Tamandua tetradactyla: one gene and its partner. The protein of the gene in region 1 binds, or shares a complex with, the protein of each later gene. Links are inferred from orthologs where the notes say so. Each region holds a gene or a part of one and is shown in the gene's direction. Other genes may lie near its edges.

What was found.
Region 2: the proteins of NAA50 (region 1) and NAA15 are in contact, whole or in part, in a cryo-EM structure (PDB 6PPL), measured with the Homo sapiens proteins. The link is inferred for Tamandua tetradactyla from reciprocal best matches to the Homo sapiens genes NAA50 and NAA15. Residues at the interface, in NP_079422.1 of Homo sapiens: Arg5, His14, Asn15, Lys17, Gln18, Arg21, Leu22, Val25, Phe51, Asn52, Ile54, Ala55, Leu80, Pro82, Tyr83, Leu86; in NP_476516.1 of Homo sapiens: Pro369, Pro370, Thr371, Leu374, Ser403, Thr404, Pro405, Thr406, Leu407, Ile408, Phe411, Glu433, Ala436, Leu437, Asp438, Thr439, Ala440.

Annotation. Positions count from the first base shown.
Region 1 is NC_135336.1:32,896,733-32,913,332, forward strand, and holds the start of NAA50 (N-alpha-acetyltransferase 50), read left to right. Parts: upstream 1-10,734; 5' UTR 10,735-11,038; coding exon 11,039-11,046; intron 11,047-16,600. UniProt on the Homo sapiens protein: N-alpha-acetyltransferase that acetylates the N-terminus of proteins that retain their initiating methionine. Has a broad substrate specificity: able to acetylate the initiator methionine of most peptides, except for those with a proline in second position.
Region 2 is NC_135348.1:28,799,519-28,815,626, reverse strand, and holds the start of NAA15 (N-alpha-acetyltransferase 15, NatA auxiliary subunit), read left to right. Parts: upstream 1-7,247; 5' UTR 7,248-7,530; coding exon 7,531-7,584; intron 7,585-13,375; exon of another isoform or gene 13,376-15,055; intron 15,056-15,097; exon of another isoform or gene 15,098-16,108. Other genes in the region: NDUFC1 (NADH dehydrogenase [ubiquinone] 1 subunit C1, mitochondrial), read right to left, coding at 1,979-2,082, 2,635-2,701. UniProt on the Homo sapiens protein: Auxillary subunit of N-terminal acetyltransferase complexes which display alpha (N-terminal) acetyltransferase (NAT) activity. The NAT activity may be important for vascular, hematopoietic and neuronal growth and development.

The DNA of each region.
Region 1 (16,600 bases):
CCAACTTAACGTTTTCCACCAACTCGGGGAGCAGAAACCTTCACGGGCTTCGCAATCTTTTGTTTAGGTGCTGCCTTTGTGGGAGCCTTAGCAGCAGCCATTGCTGTCTTTTTAGATGCTTGCTTAGCCTTTTTTGCTTCTTTGGCAGCCCTGATAGCTTGTTCTCGTTGAGCCTTTCTAACTTCAGGTTTCTGATTCCTCTTGGCCATAATATCAGCAAGAGATGCACCAGTGATAGCCCTCTGGAATTTAACTGCACGGCGGGTTCTTTTCTTTTGAATTTCTTCCGACTGTCCCTTTTTATGCTTTCTTCTGTAGAGAACAGTCCAGTTTATCTGCCGAGGGTTCCTCTTGGAAAGGAATGCCGACTCGCATTTTGCAGTAAGAAATTGGAAAACCTTCCCGTCGGTCCTGGCGTACCGCCTCCCATGTCCGGGATAGATTTTGTACCCACTGAAACTGCAGAGCTCCACCTTCATGGTTGCAGACGCCTAGGGACCGGGAAGATGGCGAAGAGACTGAATAAACTTTTGAGTCATAAGGTATAGACAGGTTTCATCTTCCAAGACTCAGGCCGAACTCTCAATATTCTTATTTCAATGCTGTTGTGGCTCAATTGTTCCAAATGGAATGTGGAAGTAGGGGGGAGTTATTTTCTGTTGCTTTATATTGCTCTAATTTGAAGAATTAGTTCATAATAATAAGTTACTGACAGTCTGTTTATCTCTGCCTATTAATACCTATATCTCTCACCCTACTATCACCAATAAAGAATCTTTGGGTGAGGATGAGATCATATATAAAACATACACCCACATATCCCACCAAACAATTGCAGGTACTATAATTCTGCACTCTAGCGCTTCAGATATAGTAAACTGTGACCTGAGCAAATTCTGTATTTTGAGTGTCTACTTCGGAGCACATTGATGTTGGTCTGTCTCCTATACTCATGCGCTATTTTATTTCTTGAAACAAATGAAGTGAACATCAAGCAGAAGTTGTATGTTATACTCAAAACAATTTTCTAACTCATCCGAATAAAGCCCCTCACCACCTATATTTGAATTACCTAAGATTAGAAGTCACAATTTACTAAAAACTTATTTTTCACAAAAACAGAATATAGTTATTCCTACACTTACCTAGTTAGCCCACTCTTAATGTTCATATTAATTGGTACTTTGATTCCCAATTCAACTATTTGAAAGCTTTTTCATAGTATTGATACATGAAAATTGCAGCTTTCACAATATTAAAATTGTAGCATTTTACTTTCAATCATATATAAACTTCACCTGATAGAATTTTAACATACAAACTACATAAGGAACATATCAATTTATACCTAGAATGCTTACACCTTTATTTGAAAGTAGTAAGAAATCTGATGTTATCCCTTGTTCTTAAATACTGACATTGTTACAATGATTACAGAGAATGTAACCTATACTATCACATGACATGTAGATCGCCCACAATTGAGGAAAGCCAGAAGAATAAAAAGCATTCATTCCCCTTTTAAAAGAAAAAAAAACATTTAGCTATTCCACCTACCAAAGGCTCAGGCTAAATGAAAGATTTTGGCCAACACTGAGTACAAATCTGAAATTAGTATGTCCCAAAACTGGGAAGCAATTTGGAAAAATCTACCAAATTTGGTGATATCTACCAAAATTCAAAACATATATCCTTTGATTTGGCTAGCCCATTTCTAGGAATATACTGTACATGTACAAACTGTTCTACTGACAAGATATTCATTATAGCAAATGATTCATTATAGCAAATGACTAGAATGCCCAATAGGCTAGTTAAATAAATTGTGGTAGTATAAGAGGCTTGCATGCTTAATGATATTAAGACAGCAAGGTCTGAAAAGAGACTCCCTGGGTTCAATCCTGAGTTCCTACAAATTACTAGCTACAGTGGCATTGTTGGGTATTTAACCAGCCCATTATTGGCCATTTCACCACCCCATTTCTAATTTCCCTCATTTGTTAAACAGGGTTAAAAAGAGTACCTATCTCATAAGGTTGCTAAGAGGTTTTCCAAGTTAATGTCAAAAAAAGTGCTTGTATCAGGAGAAAGAACTCAGTAAACATTCAGAATGACAATGATGGCACATCTGCACAATTGAATATTAGATTTTATTTAAAACAGTGAGGCAACTTTAACTGTATCAACTTGGAAAGATCACCAGGATACAATTTTAAGTAAAAAATGCTAGGTCCAGAATGATATTAAGAGGTACTACCTTTGCGGACAAATATGTGAAAAAAAAGAAGACAGGGAGGGGGAGAGAGAGAGAGAGAGAGAGAGAGAGAGAGCACACACACACATAACTATATAACTTTTTCCCTGTATTTCTGCGTCTATTACCCCTCTAACTTAATTAAAAATATTGAATGATTTGGTGAATGTTAAAACAATTGGACCAACAACCATACATCTCGAATTAACTGAGCAAGGGCATAACGAAATAAAAATACCAAATATTTATATAGCTCTTTTTATACCAATTATAGTTCTTTACTTGTATTATTCATTTAATCCTCATAGCACTCAGTGAAGTAGTTTTCTTATTTGAAGCTTTTCTGATAAAGACTGTCACATGATTAAGTCAGGTAACATACGCCATTCTTGTGAAATATACCCTACATCTATCTACAAGGCAGAAATCATTTTAGGAGGACTTAATAAACCAAACTAAAAATAAAATGTCAGTTTATAACTACCCCTCTGATAATGACTATTATTTTACCAAACATATTTAATGACAATTTTTTATTGTGTGACTGAGGGTTATCACATATATAAAATTGTGAAGTGAATCTATTGTGTTACCTAGATAATGTATATACTTTCCCCTTAGATATTCAAGAACCTAAGACAAATGTTTTTTTCTCAATAATTGTCATCTCTGGCCATTTCAATTCACTCTATCTCCCCCTCCGCCATTCTATTTCTTTTTTCAAAATGCAATTAGTTTTGGTTTTTATACTTAGAGAAACACTACATGTTCATTGTAAAAGTAAAAACACAGTATAGAAAAGTATAAGGAAAGAGATAAATTACCTGAAACGCCCATCCAAATACTTTAAGACAACTACTTAACATTTTGGTGACCATTCAACTCAGCTTGCACATATACATGCATAAACATGTAGTTTTACAAGCACACTTGACTATGCGCAAGAGCCCCTTTTCCTTAGTTCTCTCTTCCAATGTTCATAGACAGTCACATAAGCATATAAAAAACTCATGTTTTTAAATTGTTCTAGAAAAATGGTATCATATGACACACATTTTTTTCATACCACTGTTCTCACTTAAGATGATCATGGAAATCCTTTCAGGATGTATTTGGTGATCCAAGTCACAGTAAGATTTAACTCCCAGTTTTTAATGGCTTCAGAATATTTAATTATATAACTATACCATGATTTACATTAATAATACCCCTATTGACAGGTATTTTCTTTGTTCCTAGGTTTTTGCTCTTGAAACGTTGCTGCAATCAACATTGATGTTAAACCTGCCTACCTACTAGGGCTTTTATTTTTAAGTAAGAGATTATATGCAATGAAATGCTGGATGGAAATAAATATATTTTTTTCAATATTAACAGAAATTGCCTGATTGCTTACCAAAAGCCTGTAACAATTCATATCTTCACTGGTAACTCATGAGAAAATCCTTTAACACACACCCCTGCTAACAGTTGGTTTACCATTTAATTTTTGCTAGTGACAGAAGTAATATTTCATTGTTCATATACTGATAACTAATGAAGTGACAAACTTTCTCATGCTTATGAATGTTTGGATTTCTCTTCTATGAACTTCTGGTCATATGTTTTACTCCTGTTCCTAATGGGTGGACTTTTCCTTAATTTTTAAGAGCTATTACAAATGTTAATTCTTTATCTGTTACATACATTTCAAACGTTTTTCCCCCTTCTATTTATTTTTGTCATTGAAGAATTCTTCATTTCTACATAGTATAATATGTCTATGTTTACTTTTATGACTTTTAGGCATCCCATCTTGGTTTACAAAATCCCCACTATACCTAGATTGCATGTATAAAGAAAATTTATAGGATTAATATTTTAAATATTTTGTTTACATTTAAAGTCTGAATTCTTCCGAAACTGATTTTTGCATATGCTGCAGAGTAGTGGTTTAGTTTTATTTTCTTCCAGAAGGACTACCATATTGGTTATACTTACTAAATAGATATGTCTTTTACTGACCAAATTGAAATATTACTTGGTCATATATTAAATTCCCTTATACAGAGAAATTGTTTTTCCATTTTAAATTCTGCTACATTTATATAGGAGATTAAAAATATATCTCTACCTATAAAACTAAATAATACATGCAGTTATCTGAATAATTCAGAGTATTTTTTAACTGAAATTTCCAAGTAATTAAGAATAACTATTTAAATGGCTTAATTCTCCACATTACTTAAAAAAAAAAGTTTGCTGCCCAAGGAAAACTTATTGACTATAAAAACTAAAATATAAATTATACTTATGGAATTTAAATTGTCCATAAATTTCTAATGTAAAGAAAATTATTTTGATGCATTTCCTTACAATTTATTCTATATGTATATTACAATTGCATAGTTTTTTATCATGCCCTTTCTTCAATTTTACAAGTATTTTTCATTTTAGTCTTTTCTATTCACTTTTAAATAAACACTTAAAAAAATTAACCTAAGAAATAACTACAACAACATGCAAAATGTCTAGTTGCTTTTCATTCCTCAAACACACCTGAAGCTATTCTGCACCATTCAATGTACCACCCATTTCATTTTCAATGAAATAAGCTTAATTATTTTTTAGGAGACACACAAACTGTGGCAAATTTTAAGTATAATTTAAAAAAATGTTTTCCACCAAAGAAACAATAGTTTCTAAAGATAGCATTAAGATTTGAATCTTGAAATTTTATTGTAAGTTAGTCATATTAATATTCATACAAAAAATAAGTGACAAAAAAAGAAAAATAAATTAAAAACAACAAAAAGAAAAAAAAAAAACAAGGACCCCAAAATCACAGAATACAAGAATTAAAGTGCTTAAATTTAAATCTGAATACTTACAATATACCATCAATTTTTGTAAGTGTTTAATCACTTAGGCTAAACAGAGCTAACTACAAACAAATATACAAAAGGGTCAAATAAATTAAAATAATCATTAGATAATTTTATTTATAGCAGTGACTAATATATGCATTCATTTCAGCTGCCTTTACATAGACATATATGAAAATACTTGCTATACGTACATTACATATATAATATAAATATACTATACATATAGATGAATAAACTTATATAAACCAGTCATGTCACAACAGGAATAAAGAAAATAGCAAAATTTTAAAGTCTCTACAGAAAAAGAACTTAAAGGGAAAACATTCTTATTAGCCATAAATTATTCCTTTATAATAGAGAACTTGACATTAAAGATTCATTTATTTATTTATTTATTATACTCACAATAAAATCTTTCCTTATAACAAATTTGCAATTAACTTTTTTCAGGATTAAGGTTTGAAACATAAAGTCATGACAGCTATACTTCAATTATTATTTGATTTACTGATATTTTCCAACACTAATCTGTGAGTCACCACTTTAAAGAGGGAAAAATTTGTTATAATTCATTTTTCCATTATGTGCTGCTTACTTCTAGTCTATTTCATATTAAAAAAAAGATATGAAAGTTTAAAGACAACACTTTTAACTTTTAATATAGGCATTCATTAAAAAACGTGCAGGTCTGTACAAAACGAACAGGTGTGTGTACAAAATGTTTAGGTCTGTACAATTTTAATATTTTTCTATAATTCACTGTATAGACAAAAATTTAGGAATAGAAGAACTGCTTCCTTAAATTGATTCTACATATTAATGGTCACCAGCAGAGAAAATATTAAGTTACTGCAGTCGCTAAAATAATGGACCTTATATTGATATGTTTTAGCTCCAACCAATAGAGCTGTTTCAGAGTCTCTGCTAGAAGTATATACATATATACATATTTTTCTGAATAGTCTAATTTTAAATTCTACCATCTCCTTCATATCCCAAACCTGGTGCTCAAAAAGAGGCACTACTCACTTTTTAGGCTGTCTTGCGTGCCTAAGAAATTCAGTACAAAAATATAGAAGTAGGGGGTACAAGGGCAGTTCAGTGGTAGAATTCTCGCCTGCCATGTGGGAGATCTTGGTTTGATTCCTGGCCCATGCATTTACCCCCTACCCCTCCAAAAAAATTTTTTTTCAACAAATGGTGCTGCAATAATGGGATAGTCACAAGGAAAAACAATGAAATGTAACCCCCACCATACACTATAACAATACATAAATACATACATACATAAATACATAATATATGGTAGGTATCAGTAAAGTTAATAATAAAAAAAAATTAACAAAACATGTACTAGCACTCTATATTCACGATCTTATTTAATAGCACCTATGGAGATTTTACCCAGGAGAAAACTTAATCTTAGGTTAAATAAACTGTCCAAGGTCATACATCTAATAAGTTGTTAGGGCCAGAATTTGAACCCAGCTCTGATTGGAAAATCTATTCTCGTAAAGTCTGCACTATATTGCTTTACATTTACATACCACGTTATTTTAAAATTATTTTCATATAGATCACCTAGGGCTTATCTCACCTGAATGCACAATAACTTTGAGAGGTAGGTTCTTAAATATCAAACCCTAGCTCTCCAATCCTAACTTTACTTAAAAGGACATATAACTAAAGTGGCATGATTGAAGACCTTATGATTTTAGTATAATGCTATACCATTTGTAGCACATGCAGAAACACTTTTTCCAGTTAGTACAACTTATTCCTCTTCCTTTCCCTCCCATATTTGGATGATAACCAAACCTTTTATAAACATTTGTTGTGAAAAGAATTACAATGATCACTGAATTAATCATAAGTTCATTTAAGGCTTATGTCTATTCTACTGACAAAGATTTGGATGCTTATTATTAGCAATTATATCTGGTACCTAGTGCATAACCTTAGGTGGCGATATGATCAGCAAGAGCTAAAGTTATTTAATTTTCTTGTCTAATTGCCAAATACTCTATAGTCAATAATTTATTCAATACCTATTAGTACTTCAGCACTCTGATGCTAAAACACAACAGCAGTAATGACTCTGTACTTGAACTCCTAGGAGCTTTAGTGAGGAACAGTCTAGCAAACAGTAATTAATAATCAATTCTATTTTTATTTTTTATTTATTTGACATGGGCAGGCTCTGGGAATCGAACCCGGGTCTCTGGCACGGCAGGCGAGAATTCTGTCAGAGTCACTGTTGCCTGCCCGCAAACAGTAATTAAATACAGTGTATTAAAAGTTAAAATAAATTGAAAGTATTGCATAATAGTTTATAGGACTAAGTGACTAGCTCTGCCGGTGGGAAGAAGGAAGAGCATTCTTGGTATGAACAGCAATCTGTAAAGGCAGTGAAATACAAGAAAAACCTCAAAGGAAGAGCAGAAGAGTGTCAGGGACCCTAACGCAAAAACCTTAGGTACCATTTAATACTGAATTGTGGAGCCACTGAATTTCCTAATGAACATTAAGATTTCTGCATGTAACACTCAAACTGATAAAGCTGGTCTCAGAAATGTCTTCCAAGCTTCAAATCACTTTGTGTGCGTGTGTGTGTGTGTTTGTGTGTGTGAGAGAGAGAGAGAGAGAGAGAGAGAGAGAGAATAATTCTGTCAAAGCTCTTTTCACCACTCATCTTTAGCTGCAATTCAGTTACCAATTCCTGCTGCTAATCTCACAGATTTCATCAGTGATCTAAATTATTGCTGTCATAAATTCCCTAAAATTGGGGGAATTGTGAAGTAAAATTGCAGACTCATTCAACCTCTTTCATATTGATGTTTTCCTTTAGTACTCTAAGCTTTTAGCTGTTTTTTCTTTTCTACTTTGGTCATAGCCAGCCAGGACTGGTTTGGACCTTCCACAGAACTTAAGCAATTCTCCTTATTTGGCTGAATGTCACCCAGGGCAATGAAGCAATACTGCTCTTTTTTTTTTTTTTCTGTCCTACAGAGATCAGGAAAGCCTCACACTGGAGCAAATTCATTGATAATACTATATATCTGCAGCAGGCATAGCTACATAAATTATCAAAAGATTAATACTATTGTGGATCTAAGTACAAAATGCCAAAACTGTACATCCAAAGGGGACAATTCTGGTCTTCTTCATTACTAGAGCAAAAAGCAAGTAAGAAAGACCTTTAAAGTTATGTTTTCTGTAAGGAGCATCAATAGGACAGTTTTTCTATTACTAACTTAATATAAAACTATTTTAAAATTGTTTTTATTTCAAAATTTTAATTAACTTTTTGTTCTCCTTAACAAAACAAGTTTATTGTACAAAATTTGGGAGACACAGAAATACAAAAATGAGTAATTGGGTCACATCCCAGTGATAATGATACCATCCTCCTCTTTGACAACTGTCTTTTGAATGGACTATTCATTTACATTGGTTTAACGAGACTTAACTGAGAACATGATTTTTCGGATTACAAAAAAGTGCAAATTAAATCTGTAATATCTGTGAGGCTTTTGGATGTAAAAGAACTAAAGAACTTTCTGAGTTTGCAATACAAACTGAAAAAGCCTCTTCCCTTGAGCAATAATAGTGTTGGGGGCAAAACATTAACTATTGGGCAAGACCTAGGCAAAACAATTTTTGTATTTTCACAAAACACTATTCATTAAAATATGTAGAAGTCACCTGGTATTTCACAAATGGAGAGAGCTAAGGAGGGCTGCAAAGCGCTACTTAAAACTGGTCAAGGATTTGACAGGAAGTAGCATTTAGGTAGGATTTTAGGGAGAAATAGCTTTATGTAAGAAGGTATATAGATAAGGACGTCCAAAACCAGAAAACATGGAGTCAGCAATATCCTAACTTAATCTTATCTTAAATTTATGGTCAAGTAAACTTAATTATATTCCATTTTCAGCCCGATCAGTTTCTGAAGAATTACTTTCCTTTCAGAAAAATCTAGTCACTTTTCCATAGGCTAGCCTGAACCTCTTCCAGTACGCGACGTTGCAACAATCTTCCAACGCCTCTTCATTCAACTGACACTGTCGCATTACCATCACCCCTGTTTTCAAGCTAGCATATATCCACTCTTTTAACAGTCCTCCCTCCCTCTTTTCACCATAAAATCTGAGGTGAAAGGTTCAACCTTGTTTTTAAAAACCTTTCCAGAACCACCCAAAGCATGTGGACACCTACAGAGCCCCTACGGCAGGGATGTCAGATAAAAACCTTATAATTACTGAGAAAGCACGTTCGCAAGCAAGCTCTTCGGTGACTCCGCAGAGAGGGTCATCCATATCAGTGACATTCTCTACCAAGCCTATCTCACCACAGACACTTCTTCCTCCAGGTTTTTTTCCTACTTCCTCGCTACTCAGCCCCGAGTTGGGGGAAAGGCGGCGCAGGTATTCTGCCAAAGAATGGGCTTTAGGGAATGAGACCGGGCGGCTGTTGCAGACCCCGAGGACTAGCTGAAGCAATACCACTTGTCGAAGTCCCAAGGACTTCCAATGGGAAACCACAATGGCCGCACGTACCCCCAACCCTGGAAAGAGTGGACATTCCAACCCCCAGGTAGCGGGGGCGGCCAAAGTAGGGAGCAGGGCTCAGTAGTACTAGAAAAATGAGCGCCTTTCTGGTGCAGGGTGACAATGGAGATGAAGGCCCCGGCAGCGACGGCCGCCTATCGCACTCCCCCACATCGCCCACCAACCCCTTCTACTATCCCCACCAGTCGCCGATTACCGGTCGCCGTTCACCTGCTGTGGCGCGAGGTGCAGAGACCAGTAAGGACCACGGACGCAGGAGCTCTGTCACCGCGGGCGGGGAAGTCTTCAGCTGCAGAGGGGGCGGGTCTAGACAGCACGTGACCTAGAGCTCCTCCCCGCCGCCTCCATCCGCGCGCACTTCATCTGAGAAGGCTCTATTTTTGTGGATCGTTTGCGCATTAAATTTTTCTGTTTGTGATTAAAGAAGAAGCGTAAACATTTATACAAAGTTTGTGTCATGAAGTGTAACGTAGGAAGCGTACACGACAAGGGTTAAGGTACATGCTAAGGAAGTGACGTCCAAGCCATAATCTAGTGACCGGAAATGGCGATAGAGTTCCCTTGCGGCGCACCAGCAAAATCCCAGGCTGTAAGGTTTGGACCAATCACGTCATCTTAAAGCTGGAGGCATGTGGAGGAAAGTCGAGTAAACCCGCCAGTTAATTGCGTTTGTGTCAAATCCACCTACTTTTATTTAAGTTTTTCACAGACTTATTTACATTTTCGAAGAACTGGTTTCAATAAAATCCTATTAGGAAACAGAAGCATTTGAAGGTCATTCTGGATACTACCAATTAGGAAGAAAGGGTGGGCGACGGTTGATATTGTTAACAGGGGAGAGAAAAAAGGATGAGTGGAAAAAATGGATTCTACCACCGAGGCCCCACAATTAGTGTTAAGGAGTAGGAAAAAGAGAATGCTAGAACGCCAAACCCAGTAAAATGAAGGCCCCGTACTGGAGGGGGAAGGGCGCACGAAGGGAAGTAGTGCGGCTGCGCGCGCGAAACGGCGGACGCGCCGGCGCGTAGAGGGGGTGGGGTGAAAGGTCACGGCGCCGCGGCGGGTCTGGCTGGCGGCGCGGCGGCGGGCTGGAGCCGAGCGCCCCGTGTGCACGTGTGGAGAAGCGGCGGCACCAACGCGGCGGCAGGAGACATCTCCGCCCCCTCTGGAGGCACAGGGCCGCGCTTGATTCTTGCGGCCTCCGACACCCGCTTTAGTTCCCTGCCCCAGGAGAGTAGACTGGCTTCTGGGGTTGAGTGGCCCGAGCTGAGGGCGCGAAGAGCTCAAGGCGGCGGCGACGACGGCGTTGATATCAGTGGTAACGACGGCCTCAGCAGGCGGAGAAGATGAAAGGGTGAGGAAGGGCAACTGGGCTGGGCCTGGTTGGCAGGGGAGAAACCCTGAGCCCGGGTAGAGGGAGGGAGGCAGCGAAAGAGAGGAGAGACTCTGAGAGAAGACAGGGCTGTCGTGAAGTGCCGGGCAGAGGGTGATTGCTGGGCTTCTCTGATCACTCCACTCACGGAGGGGGCGGAGGCGGGGCTCGGGTTGTTGGCGGGCTGAAGGACCAGCGGAGGTAAGACTCGGGAAACCCGAGGATTTTGGCCCAAAGGATAAATGTAGGCTGAACGGAGGTAGCGAATGAGTGGGGCAGCAGGGAAAAGCTATTGTGAGGCGTCTGTGGCCTCCTACCCGGAATGGACGGCCTGAGCCACCGATCAGTGTCCGCCCGCCACTCCAGGTGGAGTAGTCAATTTGTCCTCTTCTCCAGATGAGGATTAACACTGGAACTGCTGTCTTTCACACCGTGCAGTTTGATTCACACTTAGGAACCGTGCAGAACCTTCTGGAGGGGGGGAGGGGGAGGATTAGAATAAAGAGCATGGGTATGAGTATTAAGGGCTAGTGACTCAACTAGATTTGGGTTGGGTCAGAGCGGGTGGGGGAGGGGAGAAAGCTCGAGCGCTGTAGTCCTGGGGTGCCAAAACGTTTAAGGAAGTGTTGTTGATCGGTAGGTGGAGCTATTGCTTCAGTAGTTTACTGTTGCCCCTGACTGCTGAGTGGGGTCTTAGGGTGTTCATCTGATGCTTTTTTCAGACGCTTTGCAAAGTTTTTGTTTCCCTTCTAGTTAAAATTAGGGACTATTTTGATTTGACTGTTTCCAGTTGATAGAATGTCTCCTTAGTATTAAATATAACTCTTAAATAAGAATTATATAAGGCTATATTTTAAATCATTGCCTGAGTTAGTTTTGTAGCTTGTCTTCTCTACCCTCCTTAGAAAAAGAAATGAAAAAAAAATTTTTTTTTTTTTTGCATAGGCAGGCACCGGTAATCGAACCCAGGTTCTCTGGCATGGCAGGCGAGCATTCTTGCCTGCTGAGCCACCGTGGCCCGCCCTGAAAATTTATAAATATGAAAAGGTTTTAAGGTGCCTACGGTTTTTTCTCTTTAGTCAGTTAAATAAGTAACTTTTTGAGTTAGTGAAGTCTTTCAAACAGCCCTTTCGAAGATGAAATAAAGATAAGCTTAAGTAATCTCAGACTGTCTAGTGTGTGTTTATATATGTGTGTGTGTGTTAAAGAAGAGGTTCCAAGAAAGTTTTTTGTTCTTAGGTCTGTAATATGTTTTCTTACAATGATTTTCCTTTAAGTACAGGAAATTATTTCTAATGTTAAATTGTACATTTTGTATTAAAAAGTCTTTGAAATTAAGGATATTATGAAGAAATGTTCACAGTCCCTGCATTATATCCTATCAGTCCAGTAAGGAAACTAATTGAGGGGCTTAAAAAGTGTTTGCTGCATTCAAATCATGATCTAGGAAATGTGGCATGATCCAGCATAATTTGGGAGTGTTTTTTTTTTTTTAATCCTGGTAAGACTGCATTCCTTGAATATGGTTGTCGGCTCTTGTTTCTGTATTCTCATTGCCAGGCTCTCAGTACAAACTTGTCTTGTTCTCTTCAAGTAATAAAAAGGAAACTGAAGAGTTTCCAGTATGAGGCTGCTACAGATTTATAGAAGGGGGACTCTAAGAAATTATTCTGGGTGTTTCCAAATTTTTTGGTCTAGATCAGTGTAATTAGGAAGAAATATGTGTAATACCTAACATGGCTATACAGATGGAGCTATATAGTGGTATTATTCAGGTACTACATTCATTTAATATATCCATGAAGCAACTGTCTTTTTATTTAAATGAATATTTACGTGTAAGAGGTTACTAACTTGATGGGACAGAGCCCCAGAAATGAGTAATTAGCCAAACTTAGAGGAAACCTAAGGCAACACAGCTATTGAATTTGTACTTCATGCCAGCCAGCAACCATCCCTGGAATGAAGATTCCTTAAGTCTAGATCCTAGCACTTCTCATGATTGGGAGCTTAGAAATGTGTTCTTAACTGTAAACCTTAATTATGATTTTCCAGAAATAGTCACTTTAACTTCCCAGATGAACTGAAGTACAGGTAAGATGGTACTTTAAAAAAAAATTTTGCTTCTAAGTCTGTATTTAAGGTTTGAACACAAGAAGACAGTATACATTGTTTACAAGATTTTAACATCATTGAGTTCAGAGACTTAAATCACCAAGCAGAAGGCAATCAGTGTTATAGTCCTGACTCTTGATTTGTTGTCAGTTACTCTGTAGGTTTTGTATGGAATTTTATTTGCTAAGTTTTTATTGTATGTTGAGCTAACAGAACAGTAAGTTGGATAGAATACCTAAAATCTGAAACAATGAAGAACTCCTGATTCTGTATAGTTTAAATATTTTATGTTGTTTGTTTATATTCCATATCTATCATTTTAAACTTTTTGAATTTATCTCATTTTTCTTCATATATCTACCTAGTTTTCATTATTACCAGGAAGAAAATACTCCATTGTGTTAACATACATATTTGCCTTTCTCCATAGTAGAGAATTTCCTATTATTAATTATTGCATGTATTTAAAGGTCCAGTGTTTGAGATCTGTTACAAGAATGATGCTTTCTTTGTACTGAGGTTGCTTGTTTTTATGAATAAGGGACATTATATTTTGAATTTGTGGATGGCAAGCTGATTATTTTAATTATACTCCTCTCCAGGGAAGGTGAAACTCAAGCAAGAAGGTATGCCATAGACATCCATGACTGAGGTGGCAGTTAACTAGTCAATATAATAGAAAGCAGAAGTGAATCCATTTACTCTTCAGTTGTAGAAAAGGGGTATAAATTAGATCTCATAAAAATGTACTTAAAAAAATGCGTGATCAAGGTAAAGATGGGAAAGTAGAGAGTAGACACCAATAATATGTAGTATGTGCAACAATGTAGTTTACTAATTAAAACACTAAAAGTCATTTTCAGCAAATGCTACTAGAAAATAAAATTAAAGTATAAGAATCTTGGTCAGAAACTATGTTGAAGAATTCAAAATAATGGTTACCTCCAACTATGGCTGGGAGGGGACACAAGAGAGTCAGATTCTGAGATGCTAGAAATAGTCTGTGTTTTTCTGGATGTTGATTACATAGTTGTATACATATATTAAAAAAAAAGAAAGCTGTTGCATTGTACACACAATTTATACCCTTTACTGTATAACTTATACTTTTTTAACTTATTAAACAGCTTCTTTTTTCTTAATATTTTATTTATTAGACAGCTTCTTTTTCTTTTTTTTCTTAACGTTTTATTGCTGTTTTTGCCAGCAAAGCAATTTTTTTTTTAAAGCCCTTCAGACTAAAGTAAGAGTCAGCTTTTGTAAACCTGTGATTCATGATCCTCACTTCTGGGAAACCAGTAACTTGTGAGATGCTATTTGAGATGATGATTTTAACAAATACTCTTTAGTGTCCCCTTTGCTATATTGAGGTGAATATACCTGTACTGCAAGTTTTTTTTTTTAAATCAGTGTAATTCCCTATAACTTTAATATAAAGGAGAAATAAAAAGGAAAGTAAATTGTAATGAAATATTTATTTCATTATATAAATGGTCAGCTACAACTACACCATAGGATATAAGAATATCAGATTTCATATTTCTCTGTAAATAGAATAATTTTATAATTTAGGAAGTGATATCAGATACCAACAAGTATATGCATTGGTGGCTCAAGCTCTGTTGCCAACAGGGGTGTGATTTTCTTTTTTTTTTTTTTTTAATAATCCGTCCTCCACTTGTAGTCAACCATGGTAACGTTTTGGAAAAAAAACAAAGAATAATCAATAATTTCTGGGTTGGGAGATTTTTTTTTTTTAAGATTGTCTTTTAAAGATCTTCCAGAAGACAAAGCATTCTTCTATCACTTCAAGATAATATGCCCTGTTTCTCAAACTTTCAAACTGCTGTTATGTGAATGTCACTCCAGATATGATTAGTAGAATGGGGAGGTGGGACTGTTGTCATCATTGTTCTGAATAGTATATGCCTGTTATTGCAATTTATGGTCAAATTAATTTTACACTGTTGTATATTAACTGTACTTTCAACGAAAATCCCTTCCTGAGGCTTATGCAGATTTCAACCATTGTCTTTCAACTGATATCTATTAGTTTTCAACTGATAACTTCATTTTGCTACATCCTCTATTTTGGACTGTGGAAGTCATTTTGTCTCCTGGTTTTGTCTTCCAAACATCAACTAGGACTTTCAGCTTTGTACCATCTGAAGAGATACGCTTTCTCAATTATTCAGATGTTTGTCCTTCAACTTTTTTTTTTTTTAACAACCTCACAATAACCAATAGAACACCAGTAGTTAACTAATAGGAACTTCCTTTCCATCGAGGAATTAATAATTGTTGGATTGTAGTTTAATAGCTACAAAATTACATTGTTGTGCCGTCACCCAAACTAGCTTTCTCTTTATATTTCTTCCTCCATCATTTCCTATTTACATTCATTCAGTATCTAATTTATTGGCAAAGTGTTAGGTCTGTGGTGTCCAATATAGTAGTGGCTAGTTAAAGTGGCTGTTGGGTAACTGAATTGTGAGTTGTATGACTGAGGAATAGAATTTTAAAATTTAATTAAAAATTTTAAACTTATACAGTCTGTTATTGGACAGTTTTTAAGTATGGAATGACTTGGATATGTGGATCTTCTTTTTCAGCTATACATTTTATGAAATATAAATACAGACCAAAATATTTCTAAGGGAAATTACATGAATTGAGATGTGCTGTAAGTGTACTACATACTGGGTTTTGGAGACCCAGTATGGAAAAATATATACTCATTATTAGTTTTTATTTTGATTGCACATTGAAATGATTTCACTTGTTTCGTTTTACTTTTTTAATGTGGCTAGTAGAAAATTTTGAATTACTTATGTGACTTTAAATTATATTTCTGTTCAACGGCGCTGTATTGGACTGTGAAAAAAATGAAGTTGTGTAAAATATGATCTTTTTATCCAGAATCTAGTTCCCAGATGGTAAATGTTTCAACATACAGTCTGACAGTTAATTTGTGGCTATTTATACCTCTGTGGAGGATTCTGAGGCCAGTCCTGGGTTTAGATTTGAGTATTGTCATTCAATCTCTGCTTATAATGGATAGGGAAGGGAGAATTGGATGTATGTATTTGCCTCTCTTTGCTGAGCTAATATAACCTATATCCTGTCTCCATCATTGTTAAAGCTGTTCTTAAGGGAACACTTCATTTTCCAAGACCAGTGGCTTCCCATCTCATTCCCCTATGGTAAGGTAGTGCATGCTTGCTCTTAAAAATACTTGACACACACTTTTAGTTATTTCTTTTGGATAATTCCCTGAAAGTGAGTGTTTTGAATGAGAAGTTAACCACATTTTAAAAACTCTGGTAAAATGTGGTTGCCAATTAATCCTCCAAAGAGACGGTAGCAATGTTTACTGCCTGCAGTGTATGAAAATACTAAGAACATTTTAAACATTTATTTC
Region 2 (16,108 bases), on another chromosome or scaffold:
TGTATAGACTTCTTCATAACAATCTGACATGCTATGTTTGAAAAAGCAATGCTTAAAAGTTTGTATCCAACTTCTGCCAAATAAATTACTTAATTCAGTGGGATATAAATGTGATGGAATACTTTACCACAGAGGGCTTAAATCAAGATATAATACAGAACTTGGTTATTAAATGGGGTCCAGACCAGTTGGTGGGTGTGTACTATACTTCTAACCTTAGAAGTGTGATGCTGTGAATGAATGACCAACTCTACTTCCCAACAAAAAGTGTATGACTTAGAGTATGATTGCTGAATTATTTATTGATATTTCTTTCAGTCTCCAGTATCTTAGAGCAGCTAAAAGTAAAAACTTAAAATTGTGGAATTGTAAAAGTGTATTAGATATCATGAAGGAAAACCACCTGACAGAATACGCAACTTAATGATGATTGATGTAGGATGAAATTTACTGAAATCTAAGATCCAGTTTTAACAGTTAGTCCTCAGCAGCAATTAAGACTTTTAGGGAAAAATTTTAACTGAAATTTAAAATGTACAAAATTTCACTACAACAAATATTGTCAAAAATGATTAGCTAATGGTTGCAACTGTAAATGACTTTGGACATCTCTTACTCTGTCCAATGTCAAAGATGTGAATCACTTGAATTAGAAAATACAAAATAAGAGCTCTAAGGGCTGGAAGTGGGGGGCGACAGGAGAAGCCCCAAAGTCAATAGACATACAAAAAAAAAATTTAATGCTAATGTAGATACTCTGAGTTTACTTTTTTTAAAAAAGAGAGAGGGAGTGTTTCACAATGGTCTATAGGGTGGCCTCTGAAGTATGTAAGAACTGGGTTCAGTAAATTAATCTCCCGAAGCTTGTTTCTTATTCTGCAAAAGGGGAACAATAATAGTACCTACCATATAATATTGCTGAAGAGTTTTTATATGCAAAGCATTTGGCATACAGTAAAGATCCAGATATAAAAAAGCCTGCTACACACGAGGTACAATTTCCAACAATACATTTAATACGAACATTAAAAACTAATGTATTAGAAATCTAATGGGATTTCATTTGTATAGCTTCTTCTGAAAAAGTGCTTTCATAACACCCCAACCAGTCTCACTCATCATTAAGAAATAAAGGGTAATTAATACTTAGCAAAATTGCCATTCCTCACAATACCACACTTAGTAACAACGAACAGGAATTTCAATCTCATCATACTTTCTCCACGCTGAAATATTTTTCTTTTTTTAAAATTTCTTTTTAGTTTTTTATTTTGAAATACATTTAAACTTACAGGGCAATTACAAAAACAGTACAAATCCATACAGAAAACTCCAATATAACCCTACACCCCAGATACTCAGGTCCACTAATTATATTTTGCCACATTTTCCATATCATTCTATCTATCCATCTGTCTATCAATCCATTTTCTGAACACTTAAGTGTACGCTGTATATAGTATGTCCCTTGAATATTAATTTAACATTGATATAAAGCTTACAGACTATATTCCAATTCAAATTTTTTCATATGTCCCAATAATGTTCCTTTGAGCCTTTTTGCCTCCTTTGTTGGATCCTGTCCAGGATCACATACTGCATTTAATTACAATTGTCTTTTTAGATGCTCTTGTTTGTTTGCTTTTTTTTTTCCTTTTAATTGCGGAACATATATACAACATAAACTCTCCCATCTCAATCACCCCCAAGCTCATCATTCACTGGGATTTAATCACATTCACAATATTGCGATACCTCCGTCCATTACCAAAAGTGCATCATCTATGGAAACAGAAACCCTTCACCTGTTGTAATTTTAATATTTCTTGGGGTCATTTCCCTTAAGGAGAAATATGTTAGCGATCACAAAAGTATGCATTCTGTGGGAGTCCTGCTCGTGAATCTCACACTGACATTCATCTGCCTTTCTTCTTTATTCCTTGTATCTGTTCTTACGATGTGAGAGTCAAGTACTTACATAGGCCCAGAGAAAGACGGTGGTGCCCAAGGTCAGTCCAACTTTCAGCCAGTCGGGATTGCTGTGCTGCGGCTCCCGAACGTAGAATTTTGACCGTACAGAAGCTGAAACAGGTCAGAGGGGTATGCATATCTGTAACTTAGGGCCTCGACGGAAAAAAAACTTAACATTTATGTGTGTGTTATCGTATTTAATTCTTTTTTCAACAGCCAAGGTAAAAGAAGTTAGAGGAATCAATGAACTCGCCCAGGGCCACCGGCAAGTCCTGCCTCCAGGACATCTACACGGTGCAGTTTACCCACTCACAGATCCTCAGACAACTCCGGCTGTGGGAGCGCAAGGACACGCTTCGGGGAGGGTCTCTTCTCCTGCATCTGCTAAACCGAACCTGCAGTGTGGAGTGTGCGGTGGGAAACCAAAGTCTATTCGCAGAGGTCAAGAAGGGTTTGGTGGCGCTTGGTGCTGGGTCAGCGGCGGGTGACGGGGAACCGAGAGTCTGAGGTGGGAACAGGGGCAGGCGCTAGGCCGCGGGCGGGAGGTCACTGGAGGGAGAACGCGGGCCGCACCGCCTCCTACCCCCGCGGGCCGGGATCGCACTGGAAGGGGTAGGCGGCGTAGGGGGAGTCGGATAGGCTTGCGCGAGAAGGGACACTCACGAGCACTAGGGAACCGCGCCGGGGCCAGCAGCTTGGAGAAGGAACGCAGCAACCCGGACGGCGCCATCTTGCCGGGTTAGGCTCCACCTCCGCGTCCGCGCCAAACCCACTGTCCCCGCCCACCCCTGGAGCCTAAGCCCGAGCCAGGGCGAGCGCCCCCTGGCGGGCAAAAGGCGGGACTCGCCAGCTCCGCAGCCGCTTTCGGTGGAACGTCAACTGCGAGCAGCGGTTATGGTCAGGTAGGTAACTCAACTTCTCTGGCTTCGGTCTTCTGTCTGTCTGTAAAGGGGTTAGGAAGTGATTAAAAGAAAAAAAAAAAAGAGTTTATCCAGTTCTCTGACCTCTGAGAGTTTATTTCTCACCCCCTCCCTAGGGGCACTGTTTTTTATTAAAATCTTCCCACATGACACAGAAAACTGAAAACAAAGTGTCTCGTTGACTAGTAATAACTAGCATTTTGACTGAGTTCTGTGTCCCAGGCGCTATGTTTAGCGCATTATATACTTTACATGCATTATCTCACTTCCTCTTCACAACTACCACATGACATGTCGAGATTATTCTCAATGTACAGACGTGACTCGAAGAAATCAAGCTACTCATCCAAGGTCATACGTTATCACTTATGTTTGTAAAAACCTCTTACAGTTTCCAAAATCGTGTGCCGGCATGATTATAGGGAAGTCTTACAACCCGGAGAGGATGAGAGAATCCCAGCGTTTAGAGGTGAATGGGTTCGGACCTGACCAAGATCACACAGCTGGGGAGGTGGGATTCCTGCTGAAGTCTGTTCCCAGAACTGGTGATCCTCAGCCTGGACTGTGGTGGAAAGCAAGATTCAAACTGCCAAGTTCAAAGCATTGCTCATGCTCACCACTTTTTAGTTCTATGATTTTTAGGCAGATTACTTAACTTCTTTGTGCATATAACACAAAACCTATTTTATAAGGTATGTTGGGAATCTTAGAAAGTGTCTGTTTTTGCCTGTCAAAGACATTGTACTGGCATGTTTTATCTTTGCACAAGTAAGCCAGATTCTTCCCCCCTCCCTCTATATTTTTAAAATATTATTTAAAATGTGTTTTTAACCCAAAATTATCGAATAAATAATAAAATAATTGTAGTATGCCTTTTGGCTCATTTTTACATGCAACTGTTGGCTAAATGGATTGCTAACTTTGTGAGTCACTTATTAGTTTTGTGACCTAGTTTTGAGCCTCTGGGACTCATGTTCAAGTAAGCAAACCACCCAACTAATGCGCTGAGTCAGTGATTAGGTCCTAGCTTCTTGGCTTCTTATTCATTCAGCAGCACGTAAACTGTATATCTTTTCTTGGAAACATGTCCTGACAAAGCTTTTACTAGTATCCAACAGGTTGAAACAGAAGACGTGCTTAGTCAGCTAGCAAATTACTAACTTCATTACTGATGTTGGGAAAGATCGTGTTGTTTTTTTTGTCAGAGTTTTGGTTCCTGTATCCTTTAATAGTGTGTATTTTGGGAAAGTGATGAAGTGTAAGTGCATTTTTCTCAGTATGTTAGAGCTGATGGAACCCTATACTTGCTGTGGGCAGCTGCAGGTGAAACTCCATCATGGAAAGAATCCTGCTGAAGCAATTCCAGCCAGAAGCTAATAGCTATGATATTTTGGTAGAAGTTGCTTCATGATATTCATTTAAGTAGCTCCAAGATACTTAATGCTAAAACCCTTATTTATGGCCCAGGCAAAGAGAAAGGGCAAGTTTTAGTTCCAGATTTTCCCATTGGGAAATGTCTTACTCAATGCATACTTCCCAAGGAAGGTTAAGGAAGAGCAAGAGTTGCAAACAGTATAATATCTATGTAAAATTTTAAAAATGCAAAACCACAACATCTATCATTTATTGATTTTTTCTTTTAATATTTTTATTGAGGTATCTTCATATATGTACAGTCCATCCAAAGTATACAATGGCTTACAATATCATCACATAGTTGTGCACTCATCACCATGGTCATCTTATAACATTTGCATCACTCTAGAGAGAGATAAAAAGAAAAAACTCATACATCTCATGCTTCTCATTTATTGATTTTTGTTTGTTTGTTTAACATGGGCAGGCACTGGGAATCGAACCCGGGTCTTTGGCATGGCAAGTGAGAACTCTGCTAGTGAGCCATAGCGGCCCATCCCATTTACTGATTTTTAATGCAAGAGAATTCTACAGATCCAGTACAGGATCTGGAGAGGGATGGAGTTTCTGATGTATTTGCGAGTTTTAATTTGGAAAAACAAACAAAAAGATCAGAAACAATAGTAAAATATAAACATTTGTTAAATCTGGGTAGCATATAACTTCCTTTATATTGCTTTTCTATGACATTTGATTATTTAATAATGCAGAAGTAAAAGTGTCAATAGAGAACTTTTTTTTTTTTTGCATGGGTAGGCACCAGGAATTGAACCCAGGTCTCTGGCATAGCAGGCGAGAAATCTGCTTGGTGAGCCGCTGTGGCCTGCTCAATAGAGAACATTTTGAACTTCATAAATGAAGTTCAGTTTTCAGTGGAGAAATTATACTCCATATATCCCTTCTGTAGAATTAAATTTTGCAAGGTAAATTATTTTTCATTAGTTAAAATATTTTAGAGGAGGCATTTTGCAAGTGACATGCAAATACATGGAATAAGATGAACTATCCATCATGATTATCATCATTATAACTTCCTGCTTAGCTGTCAATTCACAGCAAAACTCTAGTTTAACAGGATCTCCATTTGTCAAACAGTGGTGATCAGAATAGATATTTTATTGAGTTCAGGCTATCTAGTCCTAGGCTGTGTGATCAGACTAATGCTCTCTGTGAGTGCATTTTAACTAGGATATGAATCAGATAAATGTTGAATCAGAATAGCAGTGACTGAGTCCTAAAAATTGCTGTTTGTTAGCAGCAAAAAAAAAAAAAAAAAAAAAGTAACATTTGCCCAACTATATCATTCAGGTACCCAGCTTCGGGTGGAAACCACTATTTGTTTCAAAGATCAGAAATCTCCTTCTCCCAAGGGGAAAAGTATATATTATTTACAGGAGAAATTTAGAAAACCATAGCAAACAATACTGCTGTAGGGATTTTGGGATATGAAACCAAGGGTTTGGAAGCCCAAGTTAGCTAAGCTAAAATTATCACCTGTAATTGGGAAATTTTTCTGTCATTTAATAGTTCAGATAATTTGATAGAAAGATTTTTTGAGGTAGTGAAGTTTGTAGGTTATTACTAAATAACAACTGTTTTTCATGAATTCTAAGTTGTCTAATCTTTAAAAATTAAGGTTAAGGAACTGGTCATATTCCAAAACCCACACAGGGGTTCTGTAACTACAATTTTTTAAATGAAATTTTGAAACCACAAATTTCAGGGAAATGCCAGGATTTGAATGATGCAACCTTATTCATATGACCCAGGCAAAAGGAGAGGGCATTTGAAATAGTAGCTAGAAAATCCGAATTTTTGTACCAGATTATTCCCACTGAGAACAGTCTTATTCAACTCACACCACCCAGGGAGGGTTAAGGAAGAATGAGCTGAAAACTTTATCTATATAAATTAAAAAAGAAAAGAAAAGAAAAGAAACAAAACCACGAGTATATTGTTTATTGGCTTATTATGCAAAGAATGCTACAGATCAAATTGATCTGGAGAGAGATCATCAAAAACCAAGGGTAAAAAATGGTTGACAGAACGTGAAAAGTTTTGCATCATCAATGGAATGCCACTTTGATAAAAATTTTACTGTCGGTGGTTAGTGAAGTGACGTATATACATTGTTTACTAGAATCTGAGCGGGAGGGACCTTATTCGGTATTGTCTGTCCGACCTTGTCCATTGCAGTCATTTTCCCTAGCATATTCATCGGCTTCTAAAGTCTGGGAATTGCTGGTAATGCAGAGTTCAACGAGTCACAATATTTTTAAGCACTAGCTTACGGCCAGCTCTAGGTAAGCCAATGACCCTGAACTCTCCACTGTCCTAAGGGCATATACGGCACGACGGATTGGGCTAACTACCTCTCTAGGTTCATCTTAAAGAATATTCTTCAAATCACCCATACCCCTCCAGGTTCATCTTAAGCAATACTCGTCGAATCACCAAACCCCATTCAAGCCTCCCTCACGCTCTTCAAATTCTATCAAGCCTCCCGGCATTCCTATCAGTTCCCAAGTCCCCATTATGCAGAAGCCTCATTTCCACTCCGCCTCTGCTTTTTAATTGGGCATTTCCTCTACGAACAACCACAGCGCTTCTTTAACACCTGCAGTTTAGCACTTACGGTTCAAGGAGCGTCCACCCAATGAATGAAAGGCCCTCCTAGCAGAAAAGTGCAGAAAGCCTATTTTTGATGAGGAGGCGGTTGGAGGCAGAGTTGGCCCCTTTCTAGCCCCCTCGCTTATCCCGGGCTTCTAGGTCAGAGCTTATAAAAGACAGGGTAATGCCTGCCGCGACCCTCACAGCCTCCGCGAGCCGGTCAGCCTCCAGGTTTCCCGGCAAGCTCCAGGACAGAAGAGGTGGGGAAAGGAGGTCACCGCGCCTGCGTGCTCGGAGGTGTGACCCGGGTGGGAAAGCCCTCCGCGTCCGCCATTTTGGCTGCTCTGTCGGTCTGTTCAGTTACCACGTGAACCGCCGACGGGGACTGGCTGGGGGGAGGCGGCGGCAGCAGCGTTAAGTGAGAAAGGAGAAAAGACAACGAAGGGAAGAGGGTGTCCAGGTGGGGCGACGCGGCGAACACTTGAGGCCTGGTAGCCGTGGCAGTCGGGGTATTCAAGGCTGAATCAGCCAGGGAACGGCGGCGGCGGCGGCGGTCGGACAAACAGACTGACCGAGCCGGGTGGTGGAGGGAGCAGCGGGAGGAGCCGGAACGATGCCGGCCGTAAGCCTCCCGCCCAAGGAGAACGCGCTCTTCAAGCGGATCTTGGTAAGTGTGAGCGTCTCGGCACGCACTGGGGAGGATTTAGCCCCTACCTGGGCCTGTCAGCCGTAACCTCGGTCAGGAGAGCACCGAGCCACCCCCGCCGGGGACCCTGCTTTCGTAGTTCTAGTCAGGCGGAATGCACTCTCTTGTCCCCTCCCTGTGGCTTCCACTTCTCTCCGCTCACCGGGCACCACAGGCGTCAACCTGCTTTCCAATAACCACGCTTCGGAGGCCCTGGTTCCGGACTAGGCCCCATTCTGCCGGCTTCTAGACTTTCGTTCCTTTCGTCCCCGAGCGAAGGAAGGCAAGGCCTGGCCTTTAGGTGGGAAGCGTGCAACACGGGTTGGTGTCGCGGTCCGGGTTGTGCGGGAACGCTGACCAGCAGGCCTGGGCGGCACCCGTGAAAGGAACAGGTGGTGCCGATGCAGCACGGCTCATTCATTGCCTAAGCGCGGCTCTCTCTCCATGGTCCCTCCCCATTTCTTCCCCTCCTAGAATTCACCTGTCTCCGCCGATCCTGGGGCCACTGAATGACCTGGGAGAAGGAAGATAGGAGGGAGTAGTAAAGGAAAGGAAGCTTTCTAAACATTGTAATCAGTTGCATACTTGAGTCTGCAGCCTTACTGGCTTCTCTTGTTCCCTCCGTTCTGGAGTAGGGAAGAAACATTTATTTCTTAGTTTCGGAGCGGGAAACCTCCCCACCCCTTCATCCTTCTCCTCACAAGGTAGAACCCATTACAAGGGGGCGGTCCGGTAGGAAGTGAAAAGTTAAGTACCTTTAGTTGAAAGTTCTAAGCAGACTTTTCTTTTGTACTTAAGTGTGTATAATGATGCCAAAACTTAGCAGCAGGGAAAAAAGAATATAGAACTTTTGAGATGGCTCTCACTTATTCCCTACGGTTCGAATGTGTGCAACTTGCATAAATCCGTAGATGCAATGATGTTTGGATGACTATTTACAATGTAAAATTTGACTTGTAGCCTTGGCGCTATAATTAATACATTGTAGCAGGTTTTTGTATGGCGTTCAGTGTGTGGGTTGTCCCTTTTATGCAAACAGTCATTCTGAAAGAATTACCTGTTTTTGTTCAACTTAAACCTTTTAAGATTTGGGGGGTGTGTATGAAAGTGTTAGTTCTTTACTCTTGCAATTAGAATTTATTTCACTTGTTGAAGTACTCCTGGGATCCAGTTTTTCTAGAAATAAAAAGTAATCTGTGTTGAATCAACTTTGATATTGCAAAACTATATACATTACAGATATAGTCAGTTCATCTTGAAAAACATATTACAAAGTAGCATCCAATACCATATAATTTTTAATCACTTGAAACCTGTAGTGCCACTTCTTAATTTTAAAACTAATTGGAGTGTAGGTGGGACTATAGCTTAGTTATACTAGAGCAGTTGTTTTTAAACCTTTTAAAGGACTAATTCGTTTGTAGGTAGGACTAACCTTGTTTTGAGATAGCAATATATCTTTAATTCCTCCCCTCAGTTTTTGAAAAAATTCAAGCAAAAGTTGAAGGGAGTGCAAGAAGTAAATAGATAACATTTTATCATGTTTCATATTTGCTTTCTTTTCCCAAATATAAAATATTTAAAAGTGACTTGGCAGACAAAACCACTGCACCTCTAAATACTTCAGCAGCAGTATCCTAAGAATAAGAAATTCTGTATAATCATAATACTGTTAACAGTTATTTCCTAATATTTTCTAATATCCAATTCATACTTAGATTTTCCTAGTTTATTTTGGGATTGTAAAGTCACATTTTGTAAGGAGTAATAGATCCCCTATGACGTTTACCTGGTTTCCCCTCATGTTAATGCCATGCAAAATAATAGTTCAGTATCACAACACTCATACAGTCTACCAGTCTTCAGATTTCCCGTTTTACTTGTACTCACATGTATGTGTGTGTTTAGTTTTTACAGTGTTATCACAAGTATAGATGCCACATCCACACTAGAGTCAAGATACAGTACAGTTCCATCAGTCCAAGAGTATCTCCTGTTGCCCTTTTAGAAACACATCCCCTCCTTTCCATCCCTTCTCCCCCCAAACTCTGGCAACCACTAATCTGCACTCTGTTTCTATAGTTTTGTAATCTCAATAATGTTATGTAAAAGGAATAAAACTGTATAACTTTCTTTATTGTGAAAATAGCATATATACAAAAAAGGGATAAATTTCAAAGCACACGGTAACAATTGGTTATAGGACAGATTTCAGAGTTTGGTATGGGTTACAGTTCCACAATTTTAGGTTTTTCTTTCTCACTGCTCCAAGACACTGGAGACTAAAAGTAATATCCTATAATGATTCAGCAGTCATACTAATTTGTTAAATCCTATCTTCTTTGTTATAACTCCACCTTCTTTGGTATTTCTTCCAATCTTTAGGGGTATTTGGGCTATGCCCATTCTAACTGGGATGGGGGGTGGAACTAGTTGATGTTTTACAAGGGCTGGCTGCTCTGGATTTCAGGACTTATCTGGCCTAGGAACCCATCTGGAGGTTGTAGCTTTCGGGAAAGTAATCATAGTGCATGGAACCTTTGTAGAATCTCAGATAAAGCCCTAGGTGTTCTTTAGGTTTGGCAGGAATGGTTTTGTTTCTGGTTTGGCAAACCATGATAAATAGCAGTAGCTAGCTGAAGCTTGTGTAAAAGCCTCTCCACTCTATTTAAACTCTCTCAGCCACTGAAACTTTGTTACGATTCTTTCCCCCTTTTGGTCAGGAAGGCATTGTCATCCCACAGTGCCAGGGCCACGCTCATCTTTGGGAGTCATATCCTACCTTGCCAGGAAATTTTCACCTCCCGATGTCATGTTCCACATAGGAGGGAGGGTAATGATTTTACTTGCAAACTTGGGCGTAGAGAGATACAGGCCACATCTGAGCAACAAAAGAGGTCCTCTGATAGTAACTCTAAGGGATAACTATAGGTAGGCTTAGCTTTTCCAATACATAAATGAACTTCTCAAGCGCAAGCCTCAAGATCAAGGGCTTGACCTGCTGACTTGGGAGTCCCTAATGTTTGCCACAGTATCAGGGGTTTCTCAGTAGTAAAGTTTAATAGTTCCATATTTTTTTCTCCAGACCCTCAAGGGACTTTGCCAGTACTTTTTATTACCTGTTCAGCATACTCTAGGATGTATCTGGGTATTACATTAAGCTATGCAGAATTACAAGCGCTCATTTCCATTCTGGGTTCCATGTTAAAACTATAACTTTTTAGGATTTGTTTTCTTTACTGAGCATAATTTCCTTGAGATTGATCCAAGTTGTTGTGTGTATCAGTAGTCTGTTCCTTTTTATTGCTGATATGAATGTATCACCATTTAACCGTTCATAGACATCAATTTTTGATCAAGCATCTTAAACTGTTTTTTCTTCCTTTTTTTTATTGGTGATAGTGGGAAGGGCAGAACCTTTAAGTTCATTACTAAAATCAGTGTTAAAAGATTTGTTGTGATAATTTGTATGCAAACGTTTAGAAGTTCTGAGAAATGTGAAAATCACTAAATGAAAGAAAAATGAAGAGGATATAATGTCCTTATTCTCTTACATTAGGAATGCAGAAAATATTATTAAACAATGCAAAGAAAAGTTAGTATTTGCTTTTTTGAAATTGCTTCTGCTTCCTCAGCTTTTGTATTGTTAGCTCTTTTGTTTTTAAGTTCCTACCCCTCCCACCCCCAATATAAGAAAACTTGGATATACTCTAAAGTCTTGTTATCAAGTGTTGCTAGGTTGATAACTTATACTAGCAGCCTTCAGATTTTGAACTGCTATTTTGTTAGTGGTATCATACTTCTTTGTATATAGGAAATTAATTTAGTTTAAATTTTTAAAAAAGTTTGAGACCTTAGTTTCAAAATAATGAAATGTTTTTTGCATTTATTTTTCAATAGAAATTTGGTTTACACGTTAGTTTGCAAAAAATTTAGAGTTTCTGTACTGGATTTGCCTGGGTTGATCTGGTCTTAGTTATCTAAAATTCAGTTGTGTTGCATATTTGGTTTTTCCTTTTTTTTTTTTTCCTCCTTACTCAACTCAGTGTTTTCTGGTTACATTATTGTTGTAAGTTGGTAAAAGATGCCTGTATAACATTTCTTGTCTATAATTTGCCTATTGAGAAAGGGGGAGTAAATTTAATGTGATATATTTTATGTATACATTTAGTTTAAAGAAGAGTTGTTTGTTAGAATTCTTTTTTTTAATTACACACTGGTTTAACAATTTTGAAAACTAAGTCACTAGAAAATTGTGAGTTTTGTCTACTGTTGATCTTGTTTGTATATCAAGATAGTTTGAGGAGTGTTTCTAGATCTTTATTGCATTTTCTTGGGCTCTAGATTGAGGGATAAGAAAACTGAGGATGCCAGGATAGAATGAAATCCACACCTTTTTAGGTTTTAGCCCACTTGAAAAGTTAAACACACCCTAATGCCTTGCCGTCAAGAGTGATTACTGCTGCTGCTTCTTCCTTTCTTCATATATTAATGTGAATTACGAGAAAAAAATCTGAATTGGAAGTACTTTAAATATTGTACATCCTTAATAAATATATTTTTGTACTTTTGCTCGAGTGACTTATATGTTGTTTAGTCATAAATTAAAAGGACAATTTTATTTTGCTAGAAAAATGGGAGAGGACATTGGCATAGCATGATAATAATAATAGCTATGTTTTATTGAAAAGCTACCAGTTTCCAGGCTCTGTCCTAGATGCTTTAAAGTTGCACTGAACTTTCAGTGATAATGGAAATGTTCTGTACCTCCTCTGTCCCATATGATAGCCATTAGCACGTGTGCTCATTGCATGCGTGAGATATGGTAATGTGACTGAATTTTTTATTTTAATTTATTTTATTTTAATTAGGTTAAATATCAGTTCAAATAACTGAGTAGATGAGTTGCCACCATTTGGACAGTGCACTTTTTACAGTCCTTTTTCCTTCGTTCTCAAAACTTTTTAGATTAGGAGACGTTTTTATTAAGGAAACAGAGAATGAGGTTAAGTAACACGCTTAAACCAAAGAGCTTGTGTTAGGTAGTCAGGGATCAAACTTTGTTTTTTCCAGTGACACTTAACAGCCACACCAGCCTCATGTCTATTTATTTATTTTCTCATGGCTCTATATAGAAGGAAGGAGTTCTTTATTAGGTAAAAGAGTTGTAATAATTGTTTAGGTTGCTGTTTCTACATTTAATGATATTTAGTTTAGATTTAGTTGCAGATGAAAGAAATGTTAGAAATTGTTAACAAGTAGGTTTCCATATGCACATGGAAGGTCATCTGATTAAATTTCTGTATGACAGAATTCTGGTTTTGCAGCTGAATGTGGCCAGTAACTTGAAATTGATTTCAGTAGATTTGTTTTTTGTTTTTTTTTTTGGCATGGGCAGGGACTGGGACGAGAACCCGGTTCTCCGGCTTGGCAGGAGAGAACTCTGCCAAGGTGTCACCATCGCCTGCCCGGTTTCAGTTGATTTTGTCTATACTGCTTATGTTTAAAGTATAACAAAATTTTTAAAAAAAGAAAAAATGGAAACAAATTACCTACTGTGAAATCACTTCTTTCCTGTACACAGTAGCAAATCAAATATTTAAGTTAGAATAAATTTCTTTCTAAAAATATGTTAGAAAATGAAATGCAATTTTGCCATAGTACATATGTTGTATTGTTATAAAAACAGCGAAATACTTTAAAATCTTAAAATCTAGTAAAAACTTGATGATATATAAATTTGCTATCCATTTTTGTTTGCTTGCTAAATCCTTTCTGGAATGAGATATGAATATACCGATAAATGTATGTTACTTTAAATTGACAGTGCTTTAAAAAAAAATTCTTTATTGTATTAGAGACCTGAAATTTTTTTTTTCTGCCCTCCCCCCTAGTTTTTAAACAGCTTTATTAATACACTGGACAATCCATCTGAAGTGTAAGTCAGTGGTGCTTGGTATAATCAGAGAGTTGTGTATTCATCACTGTTTTGGTTTGCTAATGCTGCTGGAATGTGATATACCAGAAATGGATTGGCATTTATAAAGGGGATTTATTAAGGTACAAGTTATAATTCTAAGGCCGTGAAAATGTCCAAATTAAGGCACCAGCAACCTTCTTGGAGGAAAGGCAGTATCCATGTTCTTCTGTCACATGGGAAGGCACATGGTGATGTCTGCTGGCCTCCCAAGTTGGTTTCAAAATGGCTCTCTCAGCTCCTGGGGTCCTTCTGACTTCTGCCAAGGAGCTTTCCTTCTACATCTCCATACATTTGTATCTAGGCTAGGCATCTGCTCTCTTTGTCAGCTTTTTTAAAGACTTCAGTAAACTAATTGAGACCCACCTTGAATGGGTGGGGTCACATCTCCATGGATACAGTCCAATCAAAAGGTCCCACCCTGAACAATAAATCTGACCCCACAAAATTGAACTGATTAAAAGAACGTGGAAAAAAATAAGAACATTGCTTTTTCACACATAGTGGTTTCAAACCAGTATAGTAATCAGTCATTTGAAAACATCCTCGTTGCTCAAAAAAATAAAAATAAAAAATCCCATACCCAGTATACTCCCATATTATTGTGACTTAGCTTAGTATAGTACGTTTTTTACAATTGATGCAAGAATATTATAGTGTTACTGTTAACTATAGTCCATAGTTTGCGTCAGTTGTATTTTTTCCTCATAAGCCACCCTATTCTTAACACCTTGTAATGATGACTTACATTTGTTTTAGTTTGTGTAAGAACATTCTTATATTTGTACAGTTATTCACAGTCACTGTCCACAACAGGGTTCATCATCTTGTATAGCCCATGTTTTATCATCTAGCTTTCCTTCTAGTGACATACACAACCCATACTTCCCCTTTTAACCTTAATCACCCGTATTTCAGAGCTGTTAGTTACCCTTACAGTAAAGTGCTACTATCACATCTATCCAGTGATATTTATCCTTTTACATGTTTTTGAAAAGAATTCTTTTGAGTCAAGAGAGTAGGTTAAAAAATTACTTGTTTGGCCAGATTATTTGGGGAATTAGGGTATTCTAATAAATTAGTGACCACAGTTTAGTTTTTAGAAGTGATAGATAATACTGTGTTTACAGAAGAAACATCATAACCTTAATAGGGTACTGAGTTTAATGTTCATTTCTGTAGATATTTAAAAAACTTGCACTCCTTCTGAGTCATTATTGGGGTCCGCACAAGCTTAGTTATTTGAAGAGTTGCCATCCCAACTATGGTTCTAAATCACTGGACAGTTTCTCTCTGGACAGTTCCTAGAGAGGCAGACTTGGTGCCCTGTGTGATTGGAGGACTGAAGAGCTGCTGAAGAGTCTATTTCTCCTTAATGTGCATTCTTACTTCCTGTAATTCTTCTTCTGACAATGCAGTTTCAGACAAAGCATCAATTCAAATCTCTGTTCATGAAAGCATTTTTGAATCTAAAAGGCAAGTATAAAGGGATCATGTGTATAAAGGCTGTTTGTTCAGAATATTTTTTCTCTCATAACCTGCATGACTCTCCTTTTTTCTTATTTCTTTTAAGACTCTGCTCAAATGTCTTCCAAATGTTAAAGAGGGTTTTTATGATTTAGAAGCCCTCCCTAACTCTCTTTATTTTTTCCCCCACTTTGTTTTTCTTTATAGTGCTTAATACCATATGATGTATAGTATATTTAATTATATTATGTCTTCAGGAATTAAAATGTAGGTTTCATGAAGGTAAGGGCTTTGTTCTGTTAACTGCAGTATCCTCATTGGATAAAGTTATTTATAGATATTAGATGTTTGATAAATATTTGTTGCATGGACAATCAGTGATTACAGAGCAAAAGGGAAAGATCTTTGGATTGTATGTTTGCGTAAAGATTTTTGGAGAAGGGAGGTAAGCTGGGTCTTGAAATTGTAGTACATTATTACGTGAAGTGATTGTAGAATATTGGGCAGAACCTGTCTTATCTGATAAGACCTAGGAAGTTTCACTTATGAATGGATCTAAGTATTAGTTGTTTACATGGCCTTTCATTCCAAAAGCATAATCAGAGGAAATTTTTATTTTTGTTTCTCTTTCGTTGGCTGGTTTAGCATTTAGCATTGGAGGAAAAATGACATCTGGATTAAATGAGTTTGTTCAGTGGAGCCTGCTGAATCAGAATCTCCAGAGAGCAGGGCTTCTGTGGGGCATCGGTAGCTTTATAAAGCTCTACAGCTGATTCTGACACGGAGTTAGGAGTGAGAATTTATTATTTAATTAATTTAATCTATTATTCTAGATTTATAATATAAAACACGAATATAAAATGTTAGAAGGAAAACAATTATGTAGTTTGTTGTTGCTTTGTGAGTATTTTTCAGAAAAAAAGTTTGAAAATCCAGTTGAATTCCTGGAATTTGATTAGGTATGCTGAGAAGCTGGTGTGGGAGAGCAGGTCTCTTCACTAATCAGTGAGCCTAGCCAACCCCAAGCATTCATGTCTAAATACGGCTTTGCTCTCTATTTAT